Oryctolagus cuniculus: one gene and its partners. The protein of the gene in region 3 interacts with the protein of the main gene of each other region in a pairwise test. Links are inferred from orthologs where the notes say so. Each region holds a gene or a part of one and is shown on either strand. Other genes may lie near its edges.

What was found.
Region 1: the proteins of EFEMP2 (region 3) and STK16 interact in binary tests that used the Homo sapiens proteins (3 or more experiments, as listed by UniProt). The two-hybrid records come from large-scale screens. The link is inferred for Oryctolagus cuniculus from reciprocal best matches to the Homo sapiens genes EFEMP2 and STK16.
Region 2: the proteins of EFEMP2 (region 3) and AMMECR1 interact in binary tests that used the Homo sapiens proteins (3 or more experiments, as listed by UniProt). The two-hybrid records come from large-scale screens. The link is inferred for Oryctolagus cuniculus from reciprocal best matches to the Homo sapiens genes EFEMP2 and AMMECR1.

Annotation. Positions count from the first base shown.
Region 1 is NC_091434.1:20,221,792-20,225,535, forward strand, and holds the start of STK16 (serine/threonine-protein kinase 16), read right to left. Parts: upstream 2,886-3,744; 5' UTR 2,750-2,885; exon of another isoform or gene 2,487-2,749; intron 2,392-2,486; 5' UTR 2,288-2,391; coding exon 2,202-2,287; intron 1,667-2,201; coding exon 1,447-1,666; intron 1,192-1,446; coding exon 1,058-1,191; intron 901-1,057; coding exon 780-900; intron 657-779; coding exon 561-656; intron 203-560; coding exon 81-202; intron 1-80. UniProt on the Homo sapiens protein: Membrane-associated protein kinase that phosphorylates on serine and threonine residues. In vitro substrates include DRG1, ENO1 and EIF4EBP1. Also autophosphorylates. May be involved in secretory vesicle trafficking or intracellular signaling.
Region 2 is NC_091453.1:83,311,240-83,314,883, reverse strand, and holds part of AMMECR1 (nuclear protein AMMECR1), read right to left. Parts: intron 2,291-3,644; coding exon 2,176-2,290; 3' UTR 1-2,175.
Region 3 is NC_091432.1:5,896,531-5,900,274, reverse strand, and holds the start of EFEMP2 (EGF-containing fibulin-like extracellular matrix protein 2), read right to left. Parts: upstream 2,384-3,744; 5' UTR 2,212-2,383; intron 1,941-2,211; 5' UTR 1,940-1,940; coding exon 1,829-1,939; intron 1,613-1,828; coding exon 1,564-1,612; intron 1,074-1,563; coding exon 867-1,073; intron 419-866; coding exon 296-418; intron 1-295. UniProt on the Homo sapiens protein: Plays a crucial role in elastic fiber formation in tissue, and in the formation of ultrastructural connections between elastic laminae and smooth muscle cells in the aorta, therefore participates in terminal differentiation and maturation of smooth muscle cell (SMC) and in the mechanical properties and wall integrity maintenance of the aorta.

The DNA of each region.
Region 1 (3,744 bases), on a different chromosome or scaffold from region 3:
GAAGCCCCAGCCCCTTGCTAAGGGTCCAACTCGGATAATAGCAGGGAGACATCCAAAGCGCCTGGTCCCCTCTTGTTCACCTGGGGCTCTGCGGGATGCTGAGTTGGTTCTGCACAGCCAGGGCCACGCTGTCACCCTTCTGGAACACCATGTCATAAGGGCCTTCCCCAAACATCATGGCATAGAGCACACAGCCTAGGGACTGAACGTAACTTGGTTAGTCCCTGAAAGATCAAAGGGGATGGCATCTTTTCCCTTTCTTTTGAGGGGAAAGGAGACCACACAAGCCAAACAGAATAGGCCAACCTGAGCCACACAGAGCTCCCAGGGCCCAGAGAAACCCCCAGAGAGCTGGGCACCTCTGCAGCCCTCACTTCATGGGAGGGAGACCACTTCCTTCAGTATCAGTGACAGTTTGCAGGAAGGAAGTTGAGAGAGATGGCAACAAGCTGCGGTTCCCGGGGCCCCTTGCAACAGAAACCAAAGACCTACTTCTCTGCCTGACAGCACCTCCGAGCCACGCCCCTCCCCACGCAGATTCCCGCCCACATGCTCCTCACCCAGACATCAGTCCGCTCGTCAATAACACAGTGACTCTGCACGGAGAAGAGCTCCGGGGCCCGGTAGGAGATGGTGCACCGCTGGGCTGCCCAGTCCTAGAACGGTGGCCTCAGAGCTCAAAAGCAGGGCACAGGCCAGGGTCAAGTGACCGAACTGGGGCACGTAACAGAAGGGGTCAGGGTGCGGAACAGGTGGGCAAAGGAACCCGAGGCTCTTACTTGCAGGGTCAGGGCCTGGCGGGAGCCCTCCACATGGATGCATGCTTGATTCATGGAACCCAAATCCATTAACACTGGCTGTCCCTCATCGCCAAGCAAGATGTTGGTGGGTTTCAGGTCCCTGCAGAGAAATAGAAAGGACATGTAAGCTGGAATCCTGGGGGGGGGGGGGCGGGGGGCTGATCACAGGGAGAAGAGCAGAGCCCAGAGCCCTCCCCTTTCTCTTGGTGAGGTTCTTGCTCCTGGGCCCCCTGAGCACACAGGGCCCTCCCACTGACCTGTGGGCATAGCCCTTGGCATGAATGGCCTCCAGGCCTCTGCAGATGCCCAGCAGCAGCCGCAGGATTTCATCCTCAGTCAGGAAGTTGCCCTTGTCCTTGAGCCTTTCTATCTCAGCCCACAGCGTCCCTCTCTGCAACAAGAGTTTCCCCACAGCTGGAGACGGTGCCGGAGCCTCTGGTCTCTGGGCCTGATCGTGTGCCTACGTCAATGCCCATCTGCCCTCCTCCGATCACCTAGACCTCAAACCCCCCACTCCCACATGGGCTCCTCTAAAGCTCAAGTCTGAAGCGGCCAGGACCCCCGCTGGCCGGCTCGTTTGACTGCTCACACAGCCCCTGGCGGGTGGCTCTGTGGCAACCCTCTCCACGCCAGGAGCATTTCTGACCTTAAAGAAGGGCAGCAGCAGCCAGGCCTCGTGCTTAGCATCTCGCTCCCTCAGGCAGTAAGCGACGAGGCGCAGGATGTTGGGGTGATGGAAGAGGCGATGCATGTCTGCTTCCCGCTGCGCGTCCTCTCGGTCCTGCTGCTCATGACACAGGATTCGCTTCAGGGCGTAGAAGTGTCCATCATGTAACCCCTCCACTAGGTCCACATAGCTGAACCCACTGTGGGCCAAAGGGGTCAGTGAAGGGCCACGGTCATCTCCCACAGGGCTTGGATTCAGAGGACTTTTCTGGGAGACGGCAGTGTCTCTCCCATTCAGTAAAAACCCTCCCAAGATGCGGCTCTAAGAGAAGGCTGAAGGTTGTTACACCTTGAGCTCCCCCAAAGCAGGCACAGGGAGACCGGGGAGGTGGACGTGGGCATAACACAGCGCTGTGCACCTGTATCAGGTGCTTATGAACCATGCACTGTGTGGGGCGGTCTAAACCCATGACCTCATTTACTCCTCACAACGCCATCAGTGAGGCGGGATAAGCATCTCCATTTAGTGGAGGAAGAAATCAATGGCTTATCAAGGACAAGCGGATGTGGCTCTAGGAGGCGGGGCTCCAGAACCCACTCTCTGGACTACCAGGCACCTAGATGCCATCAGGTGACCCAGAGGTTAGGGATAAAACCCTTCTGCCTCTGTCCCGTGCAGAACGCCGGTCCTCCACGACCATAACCCTGGGGATTAGGTGATTTCCAAACACTCACCCCTCCCCCAGTTTCTGGATGAAGAGGTAACGCTTATTGTCAATGATGACCGTTCCCCGAGAGCAGACACAAAGCGCGTGGCCCATAATGTCTCAAACATCCTCCTCAAGGACGGGCTGCAGCTGCCGGGGGACTGGTCCAGGGTGAGTGGGCTCTTCCGGGCGAGGCGCCGCGGGCCCAGTGGCTCATGCTGGAAGGAAAACAAACGGCAGAGTCGCGGGTCCGGCACAATCCTCACGACCCCTGAAGGACCAGCGCGGAGAGCTTAGGCTCAGGTCTCGGAACCTGGATCTCCGTGTAGGGAAAAAGGGTCCTGACAACGCCAGCTCCAAAAAGGCCGCAGTCAGGTGCCTTAAAGCCCCAGGCCACTTCCTCCAACCCCAGTCCACCTTTGGGCGGGCCCTTTCCCACGCCCGTCGGTCCCCAAAGGAGGGCGGGCATAGAGTAGTTCCCGAGGAGGTGCGAGCCTCCGGCCCACCTCTTGCAGAACCCACCCCCAACCTCAGAGCGCGGAGCCCGGGATCGATCAGCTCGGACGTCCCACTGACCTGGCCCGGGAGGGAACTCAGCCAGAAGCCGGAAGCGGCGTCTACGTCATCAGTCCGCGCCGGCGTAACGGCCCGCGGTATCCTAGCAACCGCTGGGCATCCCGACGATGTGGGGGCGCGGAACCGAGAGGCCGGGGGCGGGCTAGGCCTGCAGGTGCACGGGTCGCGGGACCCGGGTGAAGGTTCCCTACCTGGCCTTCAGTAGGGGTCAAGACGCAGGCGTCTGCGCCAAGGGGGGAGCAAAGCCGGGCTCGGCCCGAGGCCCCCAGGACCTCTATCTCCCAATGTCCGAGGTAGGAGGCCTCATACCTCCCGTGCGCTGGGTCCAGAATGCGCCCAACTATGGCCCATCCCTGAGGGCGGCCCCGGGAGGGGCCGGTGACCTTCCAAGCCCTGCTCACGAACCTCACTGCCAGTTTCTAGACAGGGGGTCTTAGTAACCTACCTGCTGTGTGACCTCGACCAATTAGCCTGTTGGATCCTAGTTTTCTGTAGCTGTAAAAATACATGTAATAGTGCCTAATATTTAGTGCATGAACTGCGAGGCTAATTCAAATCCCAGCTAGACTAAACTAGTTGTGGGAGCTCAGGCAGTCTACCTGACATGTCTGTCCTTTAGTTTGTTCATCTGTAAAGTGGGAACGGTAACAGTGTTACATAACCCTCAGTAAGTGTCTCGCAACAGGAATGATAGTTACTACTACTCCGCTCCTCACATCCCAGGCTTGGGACTATGAGGGCAGGAGGGTTGGAAATCCCCAAATTCAGCCTTGGCATCAAGCAGTTGTCACTGACATCTCTTGCCTAAATGGGCAAGGATAAGCTGGAGAGGGCGCACACTTCCAGAGAGGATGGGATGGCCAGGATGGGCTCTCCAGGAGAAGGGTTCAACTTGTGACCTGGTTTCCCCCTGCCATAGCTCTGATCACCATGAAGATTTTCCTATGGTTTCCCTTGGTACTGACCCTGTTTTCCTGCGTGTTCTGACATTCTGT
Region 2 (3,644 bases), on a different chromosome or scaffold from region 3:
TGATGAGATGATGGACATGATGGATTTCATAACAATGTTGGTCTATCTATTTTGTCTCTTTTCAGTTTGCTTTTTTTTACTTTTTTTTTTTTTTTTTTTTTTTTTTTTTGCAGCAGACAGTATCATTTAGCTTGTGCTCAGTTTCCCTATAAGGGCAAGAGAAAGTTTCCATCAGGTAGCCATTTGTTTTGTTTACTGAAAGACTAATCTGCTTCAAAATGCCCCCAAGTAGAAACAACAGGACTCAAAAAATCCCTTTCCAAAGCCCGATGTTAGCTAACTTATTCTGACTTATCTCTCAGCTCAATAGAACTGGCTACCTAGATTGTATTTCAGGCTAACAATTGGCTTCTTAGTTAAGGCAACTGAAAATAGTTATTTCAACAATGGATGCTGTGGATGAAGGAATACCAACAAACATCTAAGAACTCTCATCAAAAGCTACAGCAGTTTGCTCTGCCCCAGAGGCAAGCGGAAGGAATTTAGCCAATTATATCACAAACTAGAAAATAATTTTTGAATTCTAAACTAGCAGTCTGTCACTTGTCACAGCAACTAAATATATAAGCTGTATCAACTTGATATTCAGTGACATTTCTTGCAGTTTTATAGTATCCATTCTGGGGCATATTTTATCACTTGATATATTTGTTTCCTGTTTTAAAAAGTATGTATTTTCCCAAGTATATGTGTGTGTGTGTGTGTATATATATATATATATATATATATATATATATATTTACTACCAAACAATGAAAAATCGTCTTTCTCTAGAATTTTCTGTTATTTTTCCTGGGGAAATACGTACAGCCCTCCTATTGACATCTGTTAAGTTCTCTTCATATGCATCATGGGAAGACTAGCTCTGCAAATGAGCTGGGCTCTACCTATAGCATTTCTGAATACCAACTCTATTTTTACAGGTCTAATACATGTTAACAACATAGTAAACATGATTCAATCAAGAATCTGTAGTGCACAAAGAGATTCAAACTATTTTATAGTATCTCTAAAACTCTAGTATTATTATATAACCCCATGACAAACATATCTGAAATCACGGCATATATGAATTTATATTTCCTTAGATTATCTTTACCATATCCTTAGATGGCAGCTAAAATTGTATCTGGCCAATGATGATTTATTGAAACCTAAAGCTAACAAATTTAAATTAATATAAAATAGAAAAATGTCTCTTTTTGGTTATTTGCTCAAAATAATTTTTCCATCTTAAAAAAATACTTAAGAGTAAGGAATTTGTCTAATCTGTTGTTTCACATATAGCAACAATAAACTTTTTATAAGAATATTTCTCTAAATTGCCTTTTTCTTACCCCCTCTTAATTCCATTTAATTATATTCTTAAAGGCACTAAATTCTGTATCTGCTCTCTTCTAATATTTGCTGCTCTTCAAAATGGTTTCTGTGGCCTATTTGAAAGGTAACTTGTATTTTCTTAAAACTGTGTTTTAGTTTATAAATTGGTTCTATAAAGTGATGAGGCAATCTCTCCTTTCTATGATAACCAGCACAGTAGGGCATAAAGGATTTTTCACTCTCTGTGACAAGGCCTATCATGGGCCTCTGAATGCTCAAGATTAGAACTAAAGTTCATATGTTTTAACCATGGGAAAAACACATACTTACAGAGTGAAGAACCAAATACTACGCTCTCGTAGCAATGTGAATTTCAGACAAATTCATGAGTAATACACAAATACCTGAAAGTTGATACGAATGATAACCAAATTCTGCTATCAAAAAGTAACTATGTTACTGAGGAAGGCTTGACACAAACCTAAATAAAATCCTTAAACTTCACACTTTCTTCCATCCACAGTCAAAAGAAGGAAGGAAGGGGGGTGAGGACAGAAACCTGACTCAGAAAGAAAAGCAAAATTCTATATAATATTGTAAGGAAAGAAAAACCCAAAAGTTATATATGCTGCAAAAAAAGTCAATGATCTAAAATAATAAAACAGGATCTTCTTAAATGCCATTTCCTATCCGTTACCATGATGATCTTAATTGACTACGTCAAAGTTTCACCATGGCAACGGAAACTATCATCATAAAATGGTACAGTAAAAGAGATAGCTAGACCAAGAAGGTGTAGGGTCTCCTGGGAAGAGGTCTGCAGAGAGGCCCAGTGACTGGTTGTGCGGCTCAGTGTCAGGAATAATGGTTGTATGGTGGAAGGGGATGCCCAATGCCATTTTGGAAGTGATGATGCTGGCGATGAGCAAGGTATTCAGCATAGCTCAGGGTCATCTTTTCACTACGGTACCTGAAAGAAATTCAGGGAAGAGAAAACTTAACATCAAGAAGTAGGTGACATGCCTCAATCAAGGCGAGGAGGGACTTAGAGATAATTGTATAGATCAGGAAACAGAGGCTCAGAGGGCAGCAGTGGCTTGCCCAAATGCACATAGCTAGTACATAGCAAAGCTGGTATCAGAACTCAGGGGTCCAAACTCCACATCCATTCCTTTCTCCACTCCACTACTCCTTGTTTGAACTGTTCTAAAGAGTGCTGGGTATTTTCTAATTTTACTCTCCATGTCATGCTACTCCTTGATCAGTGCTCCTTTGGTATCTGTGTCCACTGTCTTGTGTAGAATGTTTTATCAGAAGGCTGCCCCTGATTCTGCTTGACCTTTTGATGATGATGCCTCTCACACTCCTTTTCCAAAGTTCCCTGGTCCCATGGGCTCTATACCTCCATGCATTCCTGCCTCTCAGATGACTCCTTATCTTTTTTTTTTTATTTGACAGGTAGAGTGGACAGTGAGAGAGAGAGACAGAGAGAAAGGTCTTCCTTCCGTTGGTTCACCCCCCAAATGGCCGCTATGGCTGGCACTGCGCCGATCTGAAGCCAGGAGCCAGGTGCTTCCTCCTGGTCTCCCATGTGGCTGCAGGGGCCCAAGCAGTTGGACCATCCTTCACTGCCCTCCAGGGCCACAGCAGAGAGCTGGACTGGAAGAGGAGCAACCGGGACTAGAACCTAGTGCCCATATGGGATGCCGGTGCTGCAGGTGGAGGATTAACCAAGTGAGCCACGGCACCGGCCCCCCCCTTTTTTGTCCTTATCTTTTTTAAAAAAGATATGTTTTTATTTATTTGAAAGGCAAAGAGAGATCTTTCATGTGTAGGTTCACTACCAAATGGCCACAATGATTGCCTGGGCCAGGCTGAAGCCAGGAGCCATGGAAATGTGGGTGCAGGGGGCCAAGCACTTGGGCCTTCTTCCACTGCTTTCCCAGGTACATTAGCAGGGAGCTGGATCAGAAGGGGAGCAGCCAGGACTTGAACCGGCGCCCATATGGGATGCCAGCACTGCAAGCTGGGGCTGTACTACATATACAGCACCATCCCTGACTCTTTATCTTTTTGACTGCTCCTCCTACCCATTACTGTTTGAATTTTCCTATGTTTCTCTCTTTAGTTCTTTTGAGCCTATACTCAGTCCCCCTCAGTGAACCCTACCTATCCTTTTCCTTACAGCTTCAACTATGGCCCCTTTATAGATGATACTTGAGGATCAACATATAATACATATCATATATATATCATATATATATATATATATCTTCAGTGACTTACTAGACCCTTCTATATAGAAATTCCAGGAAGATATCTAT
Region 3 (3,744 bases):
GACGGCGGCGGGGAGGGAGGCCGCGGAAGGCGCCAGTCAGTGGGGCCCCCACTCGAGGCCTCACTGCCCACAGACCCGGATGTCTCTGGGCAGCTGGACGGGGCCAGCCAGCCAGAGGACGCACGCACGCACAGGCACACACACACACACACATGCGCATGCGCACACACACGGTGTCCATGCAGTCCTCTGTGTCTGATGGCAGGAAGGCAGAGGGGGCCGGGGGCTGGGGTGACGCCCGGGGGTGGGCTGGAGTTGGGGGCTCAGGAACAGACAGGCTGCTGGCCGCACTCACCCACACACTCCGGCCCGATCTTGCGGTAGCCATCCGGGCAGGTGCACTCGTACGAGCCAGGCAGGTTGTGGCAGTCCTGGCTGGGCCGACAGTCGTGCAAGGCCTGCGCACACTCGTCCACATCTGCAGCAGACACCCCTGAGCCTCCGCCTGGGGTCGCTCACGCCATCCGGCGAGGCAGGCACCCAGCGTGGGAGGACGCAGTCCAGAAGCCACCACGAGGGCACAGGAGACCCCTCCCACCCGCCCACCAGCCTGGGAGGCAGCAGGAGACAAGGCTCTGTCCACACCCTCAGCCCCCAGCGACCCTGATCCCAGGACACCCCCCGCCAGGGCCCGCGGCTTCCAGGGGTGCAGTCCAGATCAAGGCTCCTGCAGGGTCTCTGCAGCACGTGAGGGGAGGGTCCCCTGGGACTGGCCCCGGACACAGCGAGGGCCTGGATGAGGGGCCGGGCAGCCCCTGGTGGCCCCCAGGAGCCATCAGTAAGGGCTTGGAGCAACGCAAGAACGCGAGCCCAAGTTGCGAGAAGCGTGGCGACAGCATGGGACGCCCGGGCCCAGAGGGACTCACCCACGCAGCTCTCCTGTTCGTCGGGCTCATAGCCTGGCGGGCAGGAGTTGGGGTGCTGAGCGGGGGGCACAGGCGGCGGGGGGCCCTCGCCGTGCAGGTCGTTGATGACGGAAGCGGAGCGCGGCAGACACAGGTAGCCCCCGTAGTGATTGATGCACTTCATCTCGCCCTTGCAGGCCTCGGGGATGGTCAGGCACTCATTCACATCTGCGGGAGGCGGCCTGCTCGGCACAGCCGGTCCCGGGAGGGGGGCCGGCCCCGGGCGGGGCGGGGGGGGCGAGGCAGGAGCCCGCTTGGCCCTCCCTGAGCTCCACAAGCTGAGGCAGCCTGGTGTACCCAGGACCCCTCCCCTCCACACGGCCCCGCCACAGGCTGGAAGTGGGGAAGGGGTTGCCACTGCTGCCCCCACGCTGCCTCCAAGGGGGTCCTGGCCCTGGCTCAGCCGGGCAGTGATCTGCAGCCCCCCCCCCCCCCGTGGACACCGCCCTCCCAGGTTGCGATGGGGCAAAGCCTTCCATGGGACCAGCTGCTCCGGGGCTCCCCCAGTGGCTCTCCCATCTACCCCGGGGGGGGGGGACAGGGTTACCGGGGTTCTTGGAGAGGGAGGGGCCGCCCTGCCCTGCTGGGCTGGGTAGAGCACAGGCCCCCTGGGCTCTGGTCCCTGCTCCTGGGGGGCTGGTCCCCCTGTCACACTCACCCCGGCAGTGCTGGCTGTCTGGGTCCCACTCATAGCCATCGGTGCATTCCTGGAAGGAAACCGGAGGCTGCAGTGGTCACCCAGGGTCCCCTCCAACTGGCCAGGCCAATAGCAGGGCCTGAGCCTGGGCCACCCTCCCAGTCTGTTCCAAACAACGGCCCCCAGCTGCTCTACCGGCCGGGCTGGGGGGGCGAATCTCCCCCAAGAACAGCCTCCGGGGACCCTGGTCTCCCAGTGGTAGGCCACCCGCCCCCGCTGTCCCCACCGTGTAGCTGTCCGGTTCCTCGGAGTCCTGCGGTGACGCTGCCCCCAAGAGCAGCAGCAGCAGCGCCCAGAGCAGCAGAGACCCAGGGAGGCAGGAGGCGAAGGGGAGCATCCTGCGGCCGGGAGGGGGCGGGCGGGTCAGGGGCCTCTGCCACGGCCGCCCCATCCCCCCGCACCGGGCCCCGGCCCCGCCAGCTCCGGCTCAGGTCCGAGCCTGGGGCCCTGCAGCCCCGCAGGACCCGGGGCCCACTCGTTTCGTAGGCCCGGGTTCCGGGCCCACTCCGCCCCCGCCCGGTTCCCTGGCGGTGCGGGCCTCTCGGCCCGGCGGCCGCCGACTCTGCCGAGACTCCGGCCCGCGCCCCCCTCCCACGGGCCGCCACTCACTCGGCCGCGACGCCCCCGCGGCTCCGGCGGCTCCAACAGTGCCTGCGGGCGGACGGACGGGCGGACGGCGCAGCTCCCTGGACGCGCGGCCCCAGGAAGCGCCCCCCGCCCGCCCGCCCGCCGCGGTGCGGCCCACCCCGGCGCCTCCGCCCGCCCTTCGGCGGATTCCTGAGCCCGCGCCAGGGGGAGGGACCCCGACCCCCCGCTTCTCCGCCCCCGGCCGGCGGCCGCAGGCCCCCGCCCGGTCCCCCGCGGCGCCTCCCGGAGCCGCCTCCCGGCGCCGGGCCAGGGTCCCCCAGCGCTCGATCGTGGTGCCATGGACCTGGATGCCAAGCCCCCAGACTCACTCGGGGGGGGGGGCAGGCCCTCATCAGAAACGTCATCCCGCGCACCTGGCTGCTACCTACGCGCGCAGAATTCCTTTCTGCGCACCCACTGCTCAGTCCCGCACCCCCAGACCCTCATTCTGAGCCTCCCCGAAGGTAGGATCCGAGGCCCCACCCAGCCCTGGGGCCTCCATCCCCTCACTCGACCCCCCCAGAATTGTATTCTGTGCCCCCAGACCGTCACTCCAGACGTCCCCAAAACTTCACCCCGGGCCCCCGACCCTCGCCCCGGCACGAGACGCTCCCGGGTCCCGGGAGCAGAGCTGCCCATCTCTCCCTTCTACCCCCCCCCCCGCCCCGCCATCTCCCGCCAGGTGGTCCCTGCGCTCCTGCACGGCCTCCCCCGCCCCCGCGCTCAGCCCTCCAAGCCGAGGTCGGGGGCGGGGGCGCAGGTCCCTTTTGGCCCCAAATGAATGGCAGGCCCCCGCGAAGCAGGGACAGGGTGCACTCGGGGGCCAGGGACGCCAGGCTCCGGTGCCAACGCCTTCGCGACCCTCCTCTCGCCCGCGCCCCCCACTCGGCTTCCGACCCCTCCCCCAGCGGAGGGCGTGGCCGGGGCGGAGCCCGGGAGGGTTCGACTCCCAGGAAGGGGCGGGGCTTCGCGCTGCCCACGTCTCAGGGCTGGGCCAGACGGGAAAGGGCCGCGTGTGCAGGGCTCCCGGCACCCCGCAGGCTGCGAGAGGGAACAGTCGGGTCTTCCCGTCCCTTCCCCATCCCTGCTTGACCCCCCGATCGCCCCCAACTGACCCGGTGGGGCTCAGGCTGATGCATTCCTACCACCTGCCCAGGGGCTGGGGCAAGAAAGCCCGAAGTCCGAATTCTTGAAAACCAAGCGTTCACGAGTGTTGGCGAGGGTGCGGAGAACTCGCAGCCCTCCTAGGCTGCAGCTGCTAACATCATCCGGCTGTGTCCCCAGATGTTACCAGGCAGGTTCGCTCCCAGGTATGCGCCCGGGAGACTAGACGGGCGACAGGTACACACCCGCCCCGGGAGACCGGACGGGCGAAAGGTACACACCCGCCCCTCCCCAGAGACTGGACGGGCGACAGCTACTCACCGAAAGTCTGCTCATAGCAGCACCGCGCTGCGGGCTTCAGAGCGCTGGAATGTAGCAGCAACCCCACCAGGGTCAGTCAACCAGTGGGTA